Kluyveromyces lactis: one gene and its partner. The protein of the gene in region 1 purifies or fractionates together with the protein of each later gene. This does not show direct contact. Links are inferred from orthologs where the notes say so. Each region holds a gene or a part of one and is shown in the gene's direction. Other genes may lie near its edges.

Region 1 (9,125 bases):
AACCACTTCTTTGTTTCTTGTTTGCAATAGATTACCTATCACTAACTGGTGGTTATAACGGTCCAAAGCCTGATGAGCTTTATGAATTAAAAGGTTGTTATCCGTTTCTAGTTTAAAAGAGATTATCATTGCTTGAGTGGCCCAAGATTCAACCAATCTCCTTAAAAATTTGGGCACAGGATCAAGATTTACTATTAATTTCCCGCCAACTGTTGTAGAGCTTTGGTTTCCGTCATTCAGTGATTGGTTAGCTTCTTGCGATTGAATCTTGTGTTGTGGTAACCTTGAATATGGAACGAAAAAGTCCGACACGGCAGCCGCAAGGTAGAACAAACATCCGCTGTTATTCATCAAAGCGGCAATTGTCTTCAAAGACCACAAGTACTGGTTCACCGTTGTAAACGGCAACATCAACAACTTCTTTTCCTTGTATATGAACTGGTCATAGTCACGTTTATTTTGAAGTATCAAGTCCTTATACTTTGGTGAAATACTCCCATCCTCATCAAAATAATCCAAGAAACAAGTTTCTGTATTATGAATGAAAGGCCTGTTGAATGGAGTCAAAGAAAACTCCCTATGGAGGAATATCACAGAGTACCCATTGAATAAGAACTGCTCTGCACTAGATGCACCACGAGTTCCTGCCGAAAAATTATCGATGAAGCGAACTGTATTGTTTTCTAAGGGAACCGTAGTACCACCAGACGTCACCAGAACAATTTTCTCGCGACCTTGAGACTTCTGATACTCTATGAACTGTGTAGCCTCCGTTAACAAATCGTCCATGTACACAGGTCTGGGATTTGTTCTGAAATAGTTGTCCTCATCGCTCAGATGAGCAATTGGCAAAGCAGTTTCATCGACGGTACGGTCAATGGCCTTTGAAACCTCTGTAATCGATGTATGAATCCTTCTTCCAGTCATTATTCTAACGGCTCAATGCATACACAGTCTCAGTATATATCCCAGTATATAAACACTTTTTACTTCCATCAAGTGTTCATTACTTGTAACATTCCTATAGTAATGTAAGTGACTAATATATGATCATTTCAGTTTCTCCAAAGTTGACATGACATGAGTAGGTAGCTCAGGATTAAGGTTTTCCAACGTCCTGATACTAGCAAATTTTCGACAGTAAAATCAAATTTTCATTTTTCTATGCCGTAATGGCTTACCGGTCAACAAAACGCTATCCACTGTTCTGGTGGCTCCCCAATTCGAATCTCGTCAGTACCATACCAGTTCACCTCCAAAAGCATTCACCAATTTGCTTTTCTTATCACTATATACGAACCCAATACATCGCTCTCTTGTAAATAACAAGAAAAAAGCCAGGAAAAAAAAAACAAAACGCATCTTTCAGGTCGAACCTACACCGCGTTCTGAGTACTGTTAGAAATAAACGCTCTAGAAATTTTTCCTGCGTTTTCCTGTCCTGTTTTCCATTCGATTTCACAGAAACTCACAGTCGTGAAAATATGAAATGCTGGCGAAAACCCAGATTTTTTCACAGATTTGGAAATTGATATTTGGAAGGAAAAAAGATTCGAAGGTTTTCATTTCAATTAACATTTTGAGACACCCATTGGTAGAATTCGTGTTTATGATCTCAATTTGATATAAACCCTCTGTGTACTATTACTTGGAAGGCGATTTCAGAGTCATTAATAGCTTAAGTTTATACCCGAGGTGCCAGAAAGGATAGAGTTCTATTCTACATTGCAATTGTAACCTTTTTTATTGTTTTATTCTTTTAATCTAAGTGTGTTAAAGAAGAGATCTACATTCACTCACTCACGTATACCAGTTTATTCACTCGAGGAAGATATTGATTTATATCAGAATAGAGTTTTTTTGTTTTACGTTAAATTTGCCAACATAGAATAGCAATGTCTGCTGAAGAATCACAACAAGCACAAACTGAGACTGCAGCACCAGTTCCGGTTCCAGCTCCAGCTGTCGAACAGGATCATTCCAATGAAGCTACTACAACCGTCGAAGAGAAATCACCTGGAGCTGCTACCACTGCTCCTGCTACTGAGGAGGCACCGGCATCTGAAAAGCCTGCTTCTCAGGATAACAACGGTGACGGGGAAAAACAACAAGAAGAAGGAGATGAGGAAGATGACTCTGCCGCGCCTGTTTTGGCTACTCAAGGTGGTAGAGAAAAGTCAGATAAAATCTTATACGTTGGTAACCTACCAAAGAGCATTGATGATGATCTATTGAAACAATATTTCCAAATTGGTGGGTCCATTTCCAGCGTTAAAATTATTCCAGATAAGAACAGTCAAGAGTGTAACTATGCGTTTGTTGAATATTTCGAACCACACGATGCTAACGTCGCATACCAAACTCTAAATGGTAAGGAAGTAGAAGGGAAGGTCCTTAAGATCAATTGGGCGTTCCAATCTCAACAGGTTAACAGCGATGAAACTTTCAATTTGTTCGTCGGTGATTTAAACGTCGATGTCGATGACGCCACTTTGGCCGGCACTTTTAAAGAGTTCCCATCCTTCATTCAAGCTCACGTGATGTGGGATATGCAATCTGGTAGATCTAGAGGGTACGGTTTTGTATCATTTGGTGAACAAGATCAAGCGCAAGTGGCTATGGAAACTAAACAAGGGTTCGAATTGAACGGCAGAGCCTTAAGAATCAACTGGGCTTCCAAACGTGAACCCCAACAAAGTCAACAAGGTCAAAGAAGATTCAATGGTCCTGCCAGTGGCCGTGGTGGATTCCGTAATAACAACAATCAGAACCAAAATCACCACAATCACAACGGTATCAACAGACATGCTGGTCCACCACCACATCACCAAATGCAATCTCACCTACCCCCACAATTGCAACAGCAACCCCCAATTGGAATTCCTCCAATTCATCAAGCTCCTTTGGTTCCTCCTCCAGTGGATCCAGAAGCCGTTGAAGATATGATGAGAAGAGCTCCTCCAAGAGTTACCACTGCGTACATCGGTAACATCCCACATTTCGCTCAAGAACACGACTTGATTCCATTACTACAAAACTTTGGTTTCATCATCGACTTCAAGCATTACCCAGAAAAGGGTTGTTGTTTCATCAAATATGATACTCATGAACAAGCTGCGTTGTGTATTGTGGCTCTAACAAATTTCCCATTCCAAGGAAGAAACTTGAGAACCGGTTGGGGTAAGGAAAAACCAACTTTCATTCGTCCACAACAACAAATGGGTCCAATTCCTGGTCAACTTCCACTAGAAGAACAACAGCAACAGTTTGAAAATGCCCCTCAGCAGCATGATCAACAGCAACCTCAGCAACAAGAGCAATGAGTTCATTAAAACAAAAAAAATATTAATTGTTCCAACACTAGACATTTTTCTTCCATCCGAAATTGTCTGATTCTACATGTGATGATGACCCATTATTAACTTCCTATATATAATGATATAAACCGTTATTATTTTTTTTGTCCCCTAGATTTCTAGATCTGTCCATCATGTCCATGCATTATTATTAGATATATAGAAATTATCGTTGCCTTATGATTCTTTAGTGTGTACAAAGAGGAACGGACCTTAACGCTTACTGTCAAGTAAATTAATCCAAGTAGTACATCCTCATCTTTCTTATATAGTTTTGTTGTTAACTCTCGTAATCTTCTTTACCAGTGAACCCAAACCCATAGGCCTATACATTACATACGTCTGTGGTTCTTAAACCAAAAAAATGAAAAAAAAAAAGTTCAAAAATGTAACGAATGAAAGCTATATAACTCTGAAATTATTATAGGTTTTGCCATTGATAGGAACATACATGCCTGGAAAAGTATCAATTTTGCTGTGATAATCTGATACTGTTATTGTCAATCTGATATTCAAAGTTATCATAATCTTTTTACTGGAAATATTTTCCAATAACTGAATAGCAATAGATATTTTAAAGATCATCAAAGAGTAGGATTGTTATACGGATTAAGCTTTTTACAAATACAAAAGTGTGAAGAGAACTAGGTTTATGAAAAACCATAATCAGTTATAAAGATCCTATCAATTAATCGCTAGTCGTTTCGTTCAATTATACATTATTGTTTGTATGCTAACCACGATTTTAGAGAAGTTAGGCTTTGAAGAAAAGAGAGTTTTAAAAGCGGTACTAATTGGATTAATTGCTTCGCTATACTTCCTGTACAAGAACGAATTTGATATCACAAGAGTGGCTGTTTCTGTTGTAAGTACCACGAAAGAAATTACACAAGCAGTAAGGGATAAAATAATGCTTGGTCGATGGGCTCCAAGAAATGCGGAGCAAGAGGAGACTATTGTCAGAAGAGGTGGTTATGTTGGAGGTTTAGTGAATGACGGTAACACATGCTTTATGAATTCAGTGCTCCAATGTTTGGCCTCGTCCAAAGAGTTGCATAAATTCATGGACACTATTATCCTAGATTCTAATGATGACAGTCAAAATACAATTGATGAGAATGGAGAAGAATCAGATTTGCCTAATGAGCAATCTACTGTTGAGAAGAAGCCTAAAGCAACAAAGAATAAGACATATGGAAAGAGGAAAAAGATCGCTGTACGTCAAGCAGACAACGAGCTCTTAAAAAACTCAACAGAACCTAATATGCATTTCACATTGGCTCTTCAGGATCTATTCTCAAAGTTGAATGCGAAACATTACCGTAACAGACCATGGTTTAAGACCAACAAACTTTTGAAAACTATGTCAAAAGCTCCAAATAGGAACATCATCCTAGGTTATGATCAAGAAGATGCTCAAGAGTTTTTCCAAACTATCCTTTCAGAGCTGGAGAAGAATGTTGAAAGCATATATGGAAAACCAGAAAAGGATCCAAAGCCAGTACCACAAGATGATTTGCCTGAAGATGCAATTGTTGGACAAGAACACCTCGGCGAGATTGGTGATGTCTATATCCCAACGGAACAGATCGACCCAAACTCCGTGCTTGCATCTGGTAGGAAATTCTATTCTCCATATAAAATTGTTACTCCCTTAGATGGTATCACTGCCGAAAGAATTGGATGTTTGCAATGTGGTGAGAATGGTGGGATAAGATATTCAGTCTTCTCAGGTCTATCTTTGAATTTACCCAGTGATAACATCGGTTCCCCAATCAAACTGTCACAACTTCTTGACGAGTGGTCGAAACCTGAGATCATCGAAGGAGTTGACTGTAATCGTTGTGCATTGAACGCTGTTTTGGAACATTTAGTAGAACAACTGAACACCATCCAATCACAGCCAGATGTCAATCAAAAACTAGTAACCTTGATGGAGGATAGGATCAATGAAGTTAAATCAGTGTTGTCAAAGCTTGCCATCGATGATGATGACTATAAGAGGATGCATACTGAGAACATGGTTCGCAAATCCTCAAAGTCAAAACAAATTTTGATTTCTAGACCTCCACCATTGTTATCTGTTCACATCAACCGGTCCGTTTTTGACCCTCGCACTTATATGATCAGGAAAAATAACTCAAGAGTTATATTCAAAAGCAAATTGAATCTATCACCTTGGTGTTGCAATTATGATAAGATTAATCTTGATGCACGTCTTCCGATGTCCAAGAAGCAAGAGAACTGGCACGAATCATCCGAAGATGACAATAATGGAACTGAATACTACAATAAGTTGCATCGCAGATTTGAAAAAGAATTTGAAGACAGCGATGAAGAGGAGGATGGAAGTGATAATGGTCAAGGAATGTTCAATGGATCTTCAAGAATGGTGGAAGAGCATGATGTTTTGAATGGTGAATTAAGTTCGGCATCGTTGTCATCATCCGAAGACGATATTGCTGAAGTCGAAGAGGTGGAGTTAGATGCCCTTGGAAATACAATCGTAAAAAAGACTGCCAAAAAACCATTATTAGGTGGCAATCAAGATGTGTCTATCTCCAGAGGAAACCTCGATATAGTAGATGCCGAAGGCAACTCTGAGCAAGAAGATGATCCTGAAGATGATGATGAGGATGAAGCTTATGAAGAAGACGAAGCTGAAGAAGACGAGGAAAACTCCGAAGAAGAATCAGATGACTCCTTGCCAACACCTCCGCTTCCTCCTACACAACCAATTGTGTCCAGCGTTCCTGCCGGGCCTTTGACATATGTTTTAAGATCTGTTATTGTACATTATGGTACTCATAACTATGGTCATTACATTGCATTTAGAAGGTTCCGTGGTTGCTGGTGGAGAATTAGTGACGAAAGTGTTTACATTGTCGACGAACAAGAAGTGCTTTCTACCCCCGGTGTTTTCATGTTGTTCTACGAGTACGATTATGATACAGAAACAGGGAAGATGAAAGACGATACTGAATACGAGAATGAATTCAACGTAGAGATTGAAGGTGAACCTGCTGTTGATCAAGTAACTCATTGAATTTTATTTTGCAATTTCACGCATCTAGTTACATAGATACATAAATATCACAAATCCCCTAATATAATAGCATGTTACAATCAGAGTTTTGGAGGAGTTTGAAACGCTGTACGTAAACCTCTTTACTTGTGAGAACAAAAAGGCTCACACAAGATTTTCCTGTGTCTCATTTTCTTTACCCAAATACTGGGCATACCTTGCAGCTTCCTCTTGTTGTTGCTCTCTTAAATCCTCCGCGATCAACTCATCAACATCATAATCAAATTCAGCTTCGTCCTCATTGTATTTACCAATGACACGCTTCTTCAACCCTGTTTTCCCATCGATTTCGAACTTCCGAGTCCCAAATCCCTCACCTTCTTGTGATGAACTAACTTTAAACTTCACAGGTGCATCCTCTTTCTTCAATTTTGCATATTTTGCAAGGGATCCAGCCTTTTCCGAATCTTTGGCATCACCACTGCGTCTGGTAGTCTTCTTGTCCACTGAATATGAACCAATTCCTCCAATTAGCGGTAGTAATACAACGAAAGCTACCACTAAAAGAAACACAATTAAATATACAAATGGGTTCATTGCGAAAGGCAGTACTGACGTCTAGTTGGCACTTTTCGTCAAGAAGTTGATATTATATCTTAAGAAACAGTTGTTTCCCTTTGTATGCATAGCCATTAGCCATATAGTGTGAGTGTCGGCTCATCGATCTTTTTTTTTCAATATAGATTGTGGAAATTAGATATAAACTTAAAAGACTTGAAGGACCTTTTCAGTTGAAGTAGGTTGAGAAATCACAGTTTAGGTACGTTATTCTCTATCACGTTGAGTTCAGCATACAACATATTGAGGTGCGAAAACTGAATCAGTCCTAGTTGCTATTAGCTTGAATTAGTAAATTTACCTTGAGGCTTGCGGGAACAGACAACGTTCAAAGGAATTATTCGGAGTATTGAATTGATACAGTAGGAAAGAAATTAGAAGATAAGGAATAAATGCTAGTGAAAAATAGCTCCAGGGTCATTAGAAGCGTCATTTCCAGACGTAGTATTGTTACCAAAGCGATACCTAGCATAGGTCTCGCAAGAACTGCACCAACTAGGGCTCCTGTGTTGTCAAAACTCGGGATTTTGAATCAACATAATCTACCCTTTGTTACAGTACAGCGGATGCATAACAGTATAGCAGCATCAACAGATGGGAAAACTATCCCAGAAGAGATTCTGGATATGCCTATCGAAGTGTATCACGAAATTTCTGATGAGTTTATGGATAGCTTACTGGATCAGCTCGAAATTCTCTGTGATTATCATCCAGAAGTCGTGCAGGATGTTGAGATGTCACAAGGTGTGATGAGTATAGAAGTTCCTTCCGTTGGTACATATGTAATCAACAAGCAGCCCCCAAATAAACAAATATGGTTGGCTTCTCCGGTGTCTGGGCCCAACCGATTCGATTACTATCAAAAGGAGTGGGTTTCGTTGAGAGACGGTACGAAGTTACTGGATATCCTAAACAAAGAGCTCAGTGACCGACTAGAAGGCGACGAAATTGACCTACATTACTGAACGATGTAAATATGATCTTGCTGCTCACAAACTGCCTTACAACTATGGCATGTCCGCAGTTCACCGTTAAGGACCCAATTTCGCAGAAACAATTCAGAGATCACAATCAACCAATTTTACTCTTATTTATGTATATACTTTTGTTTGTTTCATTTATTTATACCTATAACGTCCAAAATATACCTTACTGACGCGATTGCACTTACACAGTCCCTGACTTCTTTTGTTCTTTATAGTCTATACTTTGTTGCTATATAAATGAAATCTGTTTGACTCAGTAACTTTCTCTTCTATAAATGAAATCTGTTTGACTCAGTAACTTTCTCTTCTATAAACCACATTTGATAGTCTCGGTAAAGAAGGGGTCATTCTGAGCCAGAAGCAAACAACCCCAATCATAACAATCATGACATTCAAATCGTTCATTATCACATTCAAAGACAGCGTTCCAGAAGCCGACGCTTCAAAGATCAAAAACTCCATTTCTTCTCTGGGTGGTACTATTGTCCATGACTATTCCTTAATTAAGGGATTTGCTGTCAAGTTGCCAGAGTCTCTAAAGATTGATAAATTGAAGGATTTGCACGGTGATGCTTTCGAAACTATCGAGGAAGATAAAGAGGTCAAAGCTTTATAAGCAGGGGATCATATTGAGAACGTCCGAGTCATACATGATGGTTGTTCCTTTTTTGTCCCTTTACTCAAGATCTTTGATCACTCGAAATATCGGGCAGGGCCCTTTATTCGCAAGAACAACTTTTAGATTATTACAACAAGAATAGAAAACCGGTACTGTCGAATGTCAATTAGATAACGTCTATATATTTGCATTCATATCTGTAATCTTATAACCACTTCTGGTATTCATATCAACGTCCTCTTCTACGGGATATCTCTTTTCATCTAACTGTGCTTATGTTCACCTTTTCTATTATAATGGAAAATGATATCTAAGAACATATTAAGTGCGAATCTCCAGTTAGAAAGATCGATTAAGACGGAGGATAAGACAACCAAATAGGGAATTAGAGGTGAACGGATGCTATATTTCGGATGCAAGGAGTGATGGATGATAAAAATGTGGCAAAACACATAAAATTTTGTCAAAGACATTTGCAATTGTTGCCGTCTCATCGCCTGGATATAGATCCCAATAGGTTA
Region 2 (9,802 bases), on another chromosome or scaffold:
AGGAGAAATCACAGATTAACGACTATCATACAAGGATATGGTCTTCAATCGTTCCATTCTTGCAACCATCCAGTATTGCATTCAAATGGCTCAAGAGAGAAACTAAATCACTATGATCCGTGCCTTTCTTTTCTCTATTAGATCACTGATTTTGTCTACCTATTCGGAAATGGTGACAGAACTTGTTCCAATTTCTTCACATGAACATGCGTTTTCTTATTAATTTGGTCCATATTAGTATTTCCTTTCTATTCAACTTCTTAATTCACCTTCGTTTATCAGAATCACCATTTTTTTTCACTGTCTATTCAGAGTCAACTAAACATATGCAACGTCCTTGTTGTCTGTCTATATAAGTACTTTTAAATATTACTTCCTTCGTTAACATGTACTGGTTGCACTAGTATTAATGCCATTCATTACCCATCGCCAGATTTCCCCCTGTTACTCATATTTGTCACGTGTGGTCACATGTTTTCATCCGGGTAACCATATCCTGACAAGTAAGAATCCTTTTCGTTTTTTGCTGACGTGAGATGACAGTTACCCGTCCCACATCCCTTACTTTTCCCCGGGATCCGAACACGGATCAAGTAGGAAACGCGCAGCGGGACTGATTCGTTGTAAACTAGTCATTCACTTTTTTAACTTGTTATGATGTATGCACAGGAGAACAGAGGATGAGAAAAAAAATTGAAAATTAGAGGATATATAACGAAACACTTATAATAAAGCATACTTTCTCCCGTTTCTTTGGTTAGATTCCAAATTTGCTAGTATCCAAATCATCAATCAACTGAAGGCAGGCCATACTCTCGCACAGGTTGTACAGAGATTACATTCTGATTCTATTATTATTTATTAGCATACAACGTTGTGGTTTTTCTACATCAGTACTTGAAATATTGATATCCATCGGGTTTGCTCCAAAAGTCCAAAGAAGGTAAAACAAAGTGAAAGTGACTTTCTCACGCAGAAGGAGCTCTATTTATCTATTGATTTCAAACGATGCAAAGACACATACTATCTAGAAGCAACCAGTGCCTGCTGCGTGGCAATGTGCTGGCAGTGAGACATCTTTCTCAAAGGCCACTGGCAAGGACTAAGAGGTTTTTGCAAACCTCTCAGAATGGGGATAAAGTGAATGCTCCAGTTTGGCCATTCAATTTTGAAATTCCAGTGAAGAACGGTAAGAGTAGTGCACCTGGTACACAGGAAGAAGCATCTGGATCTGGGACCGCAGGTGCTAAAAAGACATGGCTCACTTACTCGCTTCCTAAAAATGTTGCCAAGAAGGGGGAACCTTTACAGACCCAACCACCCAAAGTCGATGAAAATATTCAACCAAAAAAACGTGCAAAGAGAAAGCTAAGGCCACGTAAAGCTCTAATATCGTTGACGCCCAATGCTCTTTCTCATTTGAAGGGGTTGCTCGATCAACCTGAACCTAAACTAATAAGAATAGGAGTTAAAAATAGAGGATGTTCCGGTTTGACTTACGATTTGCAATATATTACTAGTCCAGGAAAGTTCGATGAAGTGGTAGAGCAAGACGGTGTGAAGGTTATAATTGATTCAAAGGCTCTTTTCAGTATAGTTGGTAGTGAAATGGACTGGGTAGATGATAAGTTGTCCTCTAGATTTGTTTTCAAGAATCCAAACTCTAAGGGTACATGCGGATGCGGTGAAAGTTTCATGGTATAATTAATGCAAGATCTTTCCATCATCATCGGCATCATTATCATCCACAACTTTGCATTGGGATGAAGCATAAATATTCATCACCTGTAAGGAGCATTGACTGTTGTCGCTTTCATCCGGATTGCCTCTGGAGAAAAATAAAGAAACTAACAGTTGACGCAACTAACACAACACTCACCCCACGTATTATTCTTCTGATAGGTTTGCTACCTCTTACTACAAGGTGTTTAGTTTGGAAAACTCATTCTAACGACATTTATTTATACAATAGCATCGGATCCTGATCTTTTTTACTAGCAGGTATTCTTTCCATTTGGGGTACGTACGGGGGCATAAAGCGTCCGGGACGCTGATGATATCCCCCGGAGGAGAATTGCTTGAATTTATTCTTTTATTCATTTGTTCAATGCGATACACCCTAAGAAATCCTCCCTCATTCAATCTCTTTCTTCCACACCAATAATACCCTTAAACACAATTACAATCATCATTATAATTCTATATGTATATTTATTGGTCACAAAAAATGCTACCTGATGTAGCTCGTTTATAACTTTTTTAACATCATATTTATTCTATCAAACCATATTCTAGCTACGTTACTTTAATTAAACGGACGTTGCGGTTGTGATTACACTAATGGGAGAGCTCTATTAATTTCGCTGTCCAAGGATATATTTGCTGTCCCAATATTAAAAAAAATACTCGAAGGTACTTTAACAAAATTAATGGACGTGCACGTCCCGCGACAGAATAAAATTCAAAATAAAAATATATACACTGAGCACAGAAACCAAGATGTGCAGTGACACAAAGGTTTCTCTTACCTATTTTCTGACATGGCTCTCTGATTCTGTATTTGTACCCCATTCCTTGTCACGCTGAAATATTTTAAATATATAAACCTCTTTGTATAGGATAAAATTACTTCTCTTTTTACCGTCACAAAAGGCACTTCTCTTATTCTACTTTACAGTATTATTACCACCTAGAAACTCTCTAAGGAACTTTTTAAATAAGCACTCGTATTCCAACCGGTTTTTTAAACAAGTCCAGGAAAACAAACTTACCAAAGTCTTTATTCAATTACACTTAAAAGAATATATCTGTCATGCAACAAAAAAAGCTAATTCCAATTTTAGTCGCTCTTCCAATAGCACTAGCAGGTGCTGATAGAGAGTCTGCGCCAGTTGTTTATGAAAATCCAGAGAAAGCCTGCTACCTTGCAGAATTTCCTCAGGTTGGCTCCGATAAGGTTGGTGGATACATCACACTTTCACTAGTCTTGATGGAATTGCCAAGGTAAACGTCAGAATATCGACTTTGGAGCCAAAGCTTCAATATCACATCCACGAAAAACCAGTTGATCCATCCGATCCAACTTGTGAGTCTACAAAAGAACACTTGAACCCTTACAATGGGCAGGTGCCATGCGGTAATGATATCTCCAAATGTGAAGTTGGTGACTTAAGTGGTAAGTACGGTAACATCGACTACAGTTATTACGAGACGGAATATTTGGATCCATACTTATCATTGATCGAGGGTGATCCCGCTTTTGTTGGAGGTAGATCAATTACCTTACATTATTCTAATGGTACAAGATATGCATGCGCTGACATTGTTCCATGTGAGAAATTGAAGCCATCTCCAAAACCACCAAAGGAAGACAAACTAAAGGAGGACGAACCAAAGGAAGACGAACCAAAGGAAGACAAACCAAAGGAAGACGAACCAAAGGAAGACGAACCAAAGGAAGACGAACCAAAGGAAGACAAACCAAAGGAAAAAGATCCAAAGGACGACACATCAAAGGACGAAAAGTCTGAGGAAGAGAAGCCAAAAGAAGATAAAAAAACCAAGAAAGAGAAGAAAAAGGCTAAGAAGGAAGAAGAGAAAAAGCAAAAGGAAGATAAGAAGAACAAAAAACATAGTGACAAGAAGAACAAAAAACATGATGATGATGATGAATACTCCGAAGCTGAACCTTCAGTGACTGAAGAAAAACGTGTTGAGACGAGTTTCACCAAGAAACCACATCACACTACCTCTGCTGCATTGAAGGAAGGTTACAAAGAGGTAAAGAACGAAACGGACACTGAATGGAAAACAGATGACGGTCACTACAATGGCACTGAGACTGATCATTCTACTGCCCTAAATGATGCTTATAATTGGAAGAGAACTTCGTCCATAGGCTCCATTATTGCTTTCATGATGTCCTTGTTAATTTGATTCAAAAACGAAAGATCATCACGCACATGAGCTGGAATATCTAGTTATACATATGTAGATCTTACAAGGAAAATAATAATATGTTGCTATCCAAAACTTGACACAATGCCAATGATATTGTCTTAATTAACGTGAATTACAAAACTGACGCCTGACATCGAAACAGAAGTGCGTTCCAAAAACCTAGCGTTAAATTTCAAAATCTATCACGTGATGGTGATCCACTTGTTCCAGTTTTTTTCTTCGGTTTTCTTTGTGGACATGCACTTTCGAGAGTCTTCCAGAAAAATCCGGTAATGTTCTAGCTATCACGGTTCCGGACTCTAGCTTAGAGCAGAGTGAATTTTAAGTAGCTTTACAATCCCCACACAGCTTCTACATTGCCGTAAGCAACATGCTGGGATAGCTGGTTGTTTGATCTAGTATTCAACTAACAATAAGGACGTACTTACAATTTTCTATTTTACGTAGCCATGAACGTCAGTCCCAACGGTAATTTAAAAGCTTAACCTTGAGTGAGTGAATTATTCGAGAATGTACTGGTTTATACTGGAAAAGTAATGTAGTTGTTAGAGCTTTGTTTGTCTGTGAATTGGGCAATACTAAAGCTGGGACTGGTACCGGGAGATAGGGGTTGAGGTATATTTTGCTTTGCTATTAGTTTTCTTAATAAGGTGATTTTAGGGTATCTTTTGATAGATGCTTATAGAAAGAATAGGTGAAAAAAAAAGTTTATAGAATATAAGCGTAGTGAAGAGGTATATAAAGGGAGACCATCCGAAGAATCATTTGTTGAGTGCTTCCTGCTTTGGAATTCAATTACATCAATTGTATCAATAGTGGTCTATCTGATAGAAATAAACAACAATTGTCAGGATCATCAAACGCATCAACAGTTTATTGTCTAGAAAGAAGATATTACTACAATGAACGACGAAACACAATTTACAAATAAGGCCAACGAAATTATCCGTTTGGCCCAGAAATTGGCTCAGGATCACAGACATGCTCAGTTACAACCAATTCACTTACTTGCTGCATTTGTTGAGCCAAACGAGGATGGTTCTGTTGGATTCTTACAAAACTTGGTGGAATTAGCGAAATATGATTATGAACCTTTGAAAAGGGCCATCAACAGAAACCTAGTCAGGACTCCATCTCAGACGCCCGCACCATTAGAAATTCAGCCAAGTTATGCTTTCGGGCAGGTCTTGAAAGATACTTCAGAAATTAGGAAACAGCAAAAAGATTCATTCGTCGGTCAAGATCATATATTGACTGCTTTGTTCAAAGATGCAACAACTCAAAGCATTTTTAAGGAGTGTTCCATTGACATAGAATCTGTGAAGCAGCAGATGCTCGAATTGAGAGGCAATCAACGAATTGATTCAAGAGACGCTGATACAAATGAAAAATGGGAATATTTGAAGAAGTATGCGATCGATATGACTGAACAGGCTAGAGCAGGTAAGTTGGATCCTGTTATCGGTAGAGAAGAAGAAATTAGAACTGCCATCACTGTTCTTGCTAGAAGAATCAAGTCAAATCCATGTTTGATCGGTGAGCCAGGTATTGGTAAGACTGCCATTGTAGAAGGTGTTGCTCAAAGAATTATCGACGATGATGTTCCACAAATTCTACAGGGTTGCAAATTATTTTCTTTGGATCTTGCTGCATTGACGGCTGGTGCCAAATATAAAGGTGATTTCGAGGAAAGATTAAAAGGTGTCTTGAAAGAAATCGAGGAATCAAAGACTTTAATTATATTATTCATCGATGAGATTCATATGTTGATGGGCCAAGGTGTAGATGATTCTGCCAATGCTGCTAATATTTTGAAACCAGCCTTATCTCGTGGTGGCTTGAAGGTAATTGGTGCCACTACCACTAACGAATATAGATCTTTGGTCGAGAAGGATGGTGCTTTCGAAAGAAGATTCCAGAAGATTGATGTCCCTGAACCAACGACAAGGCAAACGGTAGCTATTTTGAGAGGTTTACAGCCAAAGTATGAAATACATCATGGTGTTAGAATTCTAGATAGTGCCCTAGTGTCTGCAGCTCAACTAGCTAAGAGGTACTTGCCATACAGAAGATTACCTGATTCTGCTATTGACTTGGTTGATATTTCATGTGCCGGTGTCGCTGTTGCTCGTGATTCTAAGCCCGAAGAATTAGACAATAAAGAGCGCGAATTGCATTTACTACAGGTTGAAATCAAGGCATTAGAAAGAGATGAAGAAACGGATCCAACGACAAAAGAAAGGCTACAACAAGCCAGACAAAAGGAAGCTTCATTAATTGAGGAATTGGAACCAATGAGACAGCGTTACCAACAGGAAGTGGATTCTCATGAACAACTAAGACAAGCCAAAAAGAAGCTCGATGAATTGGAAAACAAATGCATGGATGCCGAACGTCGTTACGATAATGCTACCGCAGCTGATTTGAAATACTTTGCTATTCCGGATATCAAGAAACGTATTGAGGAATTGGAACAAAAAGTTGCTGAAGAAGAATCCAGGGAAGGTTCTGAAACAATGGTGAAGAACGTGGTTAACAGCGAGGTTATTGCCGAGACTGCCGCTAGAATGACCGGTATTCCAGTGAATAAACTAACTGAATCTGAAAACACAAAGTTGATCCATATGGAACGTGAGTTATCGCAACAAGTTGTGGGTCAAATGGAGGCTGTGAAAGCCGTTTCTAACGCTGTCAGACTTTCTAGATCTGGTTTGTCTAACCCTAATCAACCGGCATCTTTCTTATTCCTAGGTTTATCTGGTTCCGGTAAGACTGAATTAGCTAAGAAAGTCGCATCCTTCTTGTTTAATGATGAAAAAGCTATGGTCAGAATCGATTGTTCAGAATTGATGGAGAAACATTCAGTTTCGAAATTATTAGGTACTACTGCCGGTTACATTGGTTACCAAGAAGGTGGTTTCTTAACTAATCAATTACAGAGAAGACCATACAGTGTGTTGTTATTTGATGAAGTCGAAAAGGCCCACCCTGATGTCTTGACCGTTCTTTTGCAAATGTTAGATGACGGCAGAATCACTAGTGGTCAAGGTAAGACAATTGACTGTTCGAACTGTATTGTAATTATGACTTCTAATTTGGGTGCCCAATTTATCAATGCTCAGACTGGATCAAAGGTTACTGAGGGTTCCAAAGAGTTGGTGATGAGTGCCGTTAAAGCACATTTCAGACCAGAATTCTTGAATAGAATCTCAAGTATCGTGGTATTCAACAAGCTTTCTCACAAGGCCATTCACAAAATTGTTGATATCAGAATCAAAGACTTGGAGAAGCAATTTGCGGATAATGATAAGAATTACAAGATCAACGTTTCACCACCAGCTCGGGATTTCTTGACCAAGAATGGTTACTCGGAGGATATGGGTGCTAGGCCATTGAACAGATTAATTCAAACCGAGATTTTGAACCCAATGGCAATCCATATCTTGAAGGGTGAGATCAAAGACAAAGAAATTGTCAATGTAGAAGTGGGTGCCGATGGATCTCATTTAGAAGTTTTACCAAATCACCCAGCTTCATCAGAAATTGGTGATGAAGACATGGATTTGGACTTGGACGACGATGACGACTTAGACCTAGACTGATCTAAAATGAATTACAAAAAGAAAACATACAAACAAACTCACTCAGTAATAAAATTTCAGTTCAACAGTACCATCATATATAGTGTAAAGTACATATTTTTTTCACTTTCTTTAGTATAATATTTTGACTTTTACATGTTTTCATGTTCATAAGAGGTGCAAACCAATGGTGCTGCTGTTATTCATACAAGCGTACTAACTAAGCATTCTGGCTGAGTTTGTATTACATGTTACTTAGATGGGCAGGGTTCTTTCAGCCTTTTTCACTGATTTCCCAAGTCAGTAAGTCCAATTTTGCACATGATTCAAAAGAATTTGATTGGTCTTTCTTCAAATCATGCTTCTTTCCTCACGAATGTTAATCTTCGGCTTTTTTCCTCTTCTTCCCTCGTTCCGTGGAGTTATTGGCTGAGTAACATCCCATATACCTTTCGTTCTGGGCATCGCTAAACATGCTTGGTAAAGAGATAGACGTAGATCATTTTCCCTGAAAGGCTTCCATTATTACATGTCAAAAATTAGCAGGCAATCAGATGGACTAAAGCGTACGCTCGCATTTGGATACGAGCCTCTCTATAATTCGAAGACACACGTACCAATGTGTGGGATAAGACGCAAACGCGTCGGAAGGGAAGGAACGGAAAAACGCTTATCGGCCTCTAAGAAAGAATGCAGAAGCGAAGAAAATCCAGCACTGTAAATTCGTTTCATTTCGTAGATTCATCTCAGGTGCCTATTTTTTAGTTTGTATGCAAAAGGACATGTGTTCTCCTTGGTTTTTTTTATCTACAGAATGAAGGAGGCCGGATCTTGGCAGTAACTGTTGTTCGGATTACAAGATTGAAATGTTTCTGGCTTATTAAGAGTACAGGAACTTGAGGGTGATTTACCGGTACTTTGTTTGGTTCGATTTACTATTTTATTGATTGATTGAATTATGTCTTACAATTGCCATGGTTACCACAATTCCTATTGTGCTAACAGATACTATAATTATTATTTATTTACCTGTGCCACGCTAACTAGTTCAAGTGCGGATTTGTTTTGCATATAAGGAGAGCAACCCGTTTTTTCCCAACTCTGCCGTTGCATTTTTCCAACACCGTTTTGAGTATGAACAATGTGCCGTATTTGCATGCAAGTTAAAAAGAAAAAACAGTCAATAATGCCACTGTGGGTAAACTCATAATTGTCATGTTGCCAGGGTTTCTTTCCATACCAAACGCGTACTGGAGGTAATCGACTTTTTTTTATTCTAAATCAGGAAATTCAAATACCGTGATGCAATGCCACTACATCAATATGTACATTCCCGAAATTTCCGTTGGTGGATTCCGAACCACCTTTAGCTCCTCGTGCATGAGGCACTTACAGTCGCGTCTTGGCTGGACCCGTAGTAGTATATAGCTATCTATTCTATATATCGTATACCCGATTTTGCATTATCTTACAGCCGAGAGCCTGTGCTTACATTTCCGGTTAAACAGTTTGAGATATTAGGGTGATTTCTTTTTGTAATCGGCTGCCAAACTAAGGTTTACTCCTGATTTGAAAATGTGGACTGTTTTTGGCATTGTTTTTTCTCTAAATTCTCTTTTCTTTGCGCTTTTTTTGACATTTTCTCTGATTGTGCTGTACAGATAAGACGTTCTGAACCATCACTACAAAAAATTATGGGAAACAATTTCTATTCTGTTTACTTGAAGAGCAGGCAATATAGAGATTGCCATTCTAACTGACATCCTACTATGTTTTTTGTGAAAGCGAAAGCCTATCCATTTGCGTATATTATTGTTGCACTACTAGATTCGTGAAAGGATTATCGTGCCGTGACATATTAATGCATGATAAAAGCAGGAAAAATAGGGTCTGATCTAAAGCATAGCTGCAGTCGCCTTAGAAGCTACCGTGCAAACTAATAATAGAAAAAATCAAAGGATACTTACTGTTCGGGGTGTGCATGCGATATTGTGATACCGGATTTAACCGTCAGATTCACCACGGCATCTTTTTCTGAGGACTCCGAACATGCTCTCATTTGCAAGATGTAAATGAAAGCACAATTTCACCGAGAAATACTGTGCATCTGCTTAGCAGTGAGGCACACCGGTAAGGGTATCTCGATTTCTCACCAAGAAGATGCAGTCAAAAAATTAGTGAAGCCACGATTAGATTATGATATCTTTCCTCTTTATTTCTCTTCATTTTCATTACTCATTTGCATAATTTTGAGCCTGTTT

The links.
Region 2: the proteins of PUB1 (region 1) and HSP104 purify together in Saccharomyces cerevisiae (affinity purification with mass spectrometry; 3 studies listed by BioGRID). This does not show direct contact. The link is inferred for Kluyveromyces lactis from reciprocal best matches to the Saccharomyces cerevisiae genes PUB1 and HSP104.

The regions. Positions count from the first base shown.
Region 1 is NC_006041.1:780,905-790,029, forward strand, and holds PUB1 (Pub1p), read left to right. Parts: upstream 1-1,895; coding exon 1,896-3,323; downstream 3,324-9,125. Other genes in the region: phosphopantothenate--cysteine ligase CAB2, read right to left, coding at 1-927; ubiquitin-specific protease UBP1, read left to right, coding at 4,087-6,402; EXP1 (Exp1p), read right to left, coding at 6,547-6,978; YFH1 (ferroxidase), read left to right, coding at 7,392-7,964; PBI2 (Pbi2p), read left to right, coding at 8,371-8,601; protein geranylgeranyltransferase type I subunit CDC43, read left to right, coding at 9,018-9,125. UniProt on the Saccharomyces cerevisiae protein: May be associated with hnRNA within the nucleus and remains associated during nucleocytoplasmic mRNA transport, once the proteins are in the cytoplasm, disassembly of PUB1-RNA complexes may occur prior to PAB1 binding and formation of a translationally competent RNP complex.
Region 2 is NC_006042.1:1,663,420-1,673,221, forward strand, and holds HSP104 (chaperone ATPase HSP104), read left to right. Parts: upstream 1-4,862; coding exon 4,863-7,562; downstream 7,563-9,802. Other genes in the region: FRA1 (aminopeptidase P), read left to right, coding at 1-116; Fe-binding Fe/S cluster assembly protein ISA1, read left to right, coding at 1,009-1,704. UniProt on the Saccharomyces cerevisiae protein: Required, in concert with Hsp40 (YDJ1) and Hsp70 (SSA1) and small Hsps (HSP26), for the dissociation, resolubilization and refolding of aggregates of damaged proteins after heat or other environmental stresses.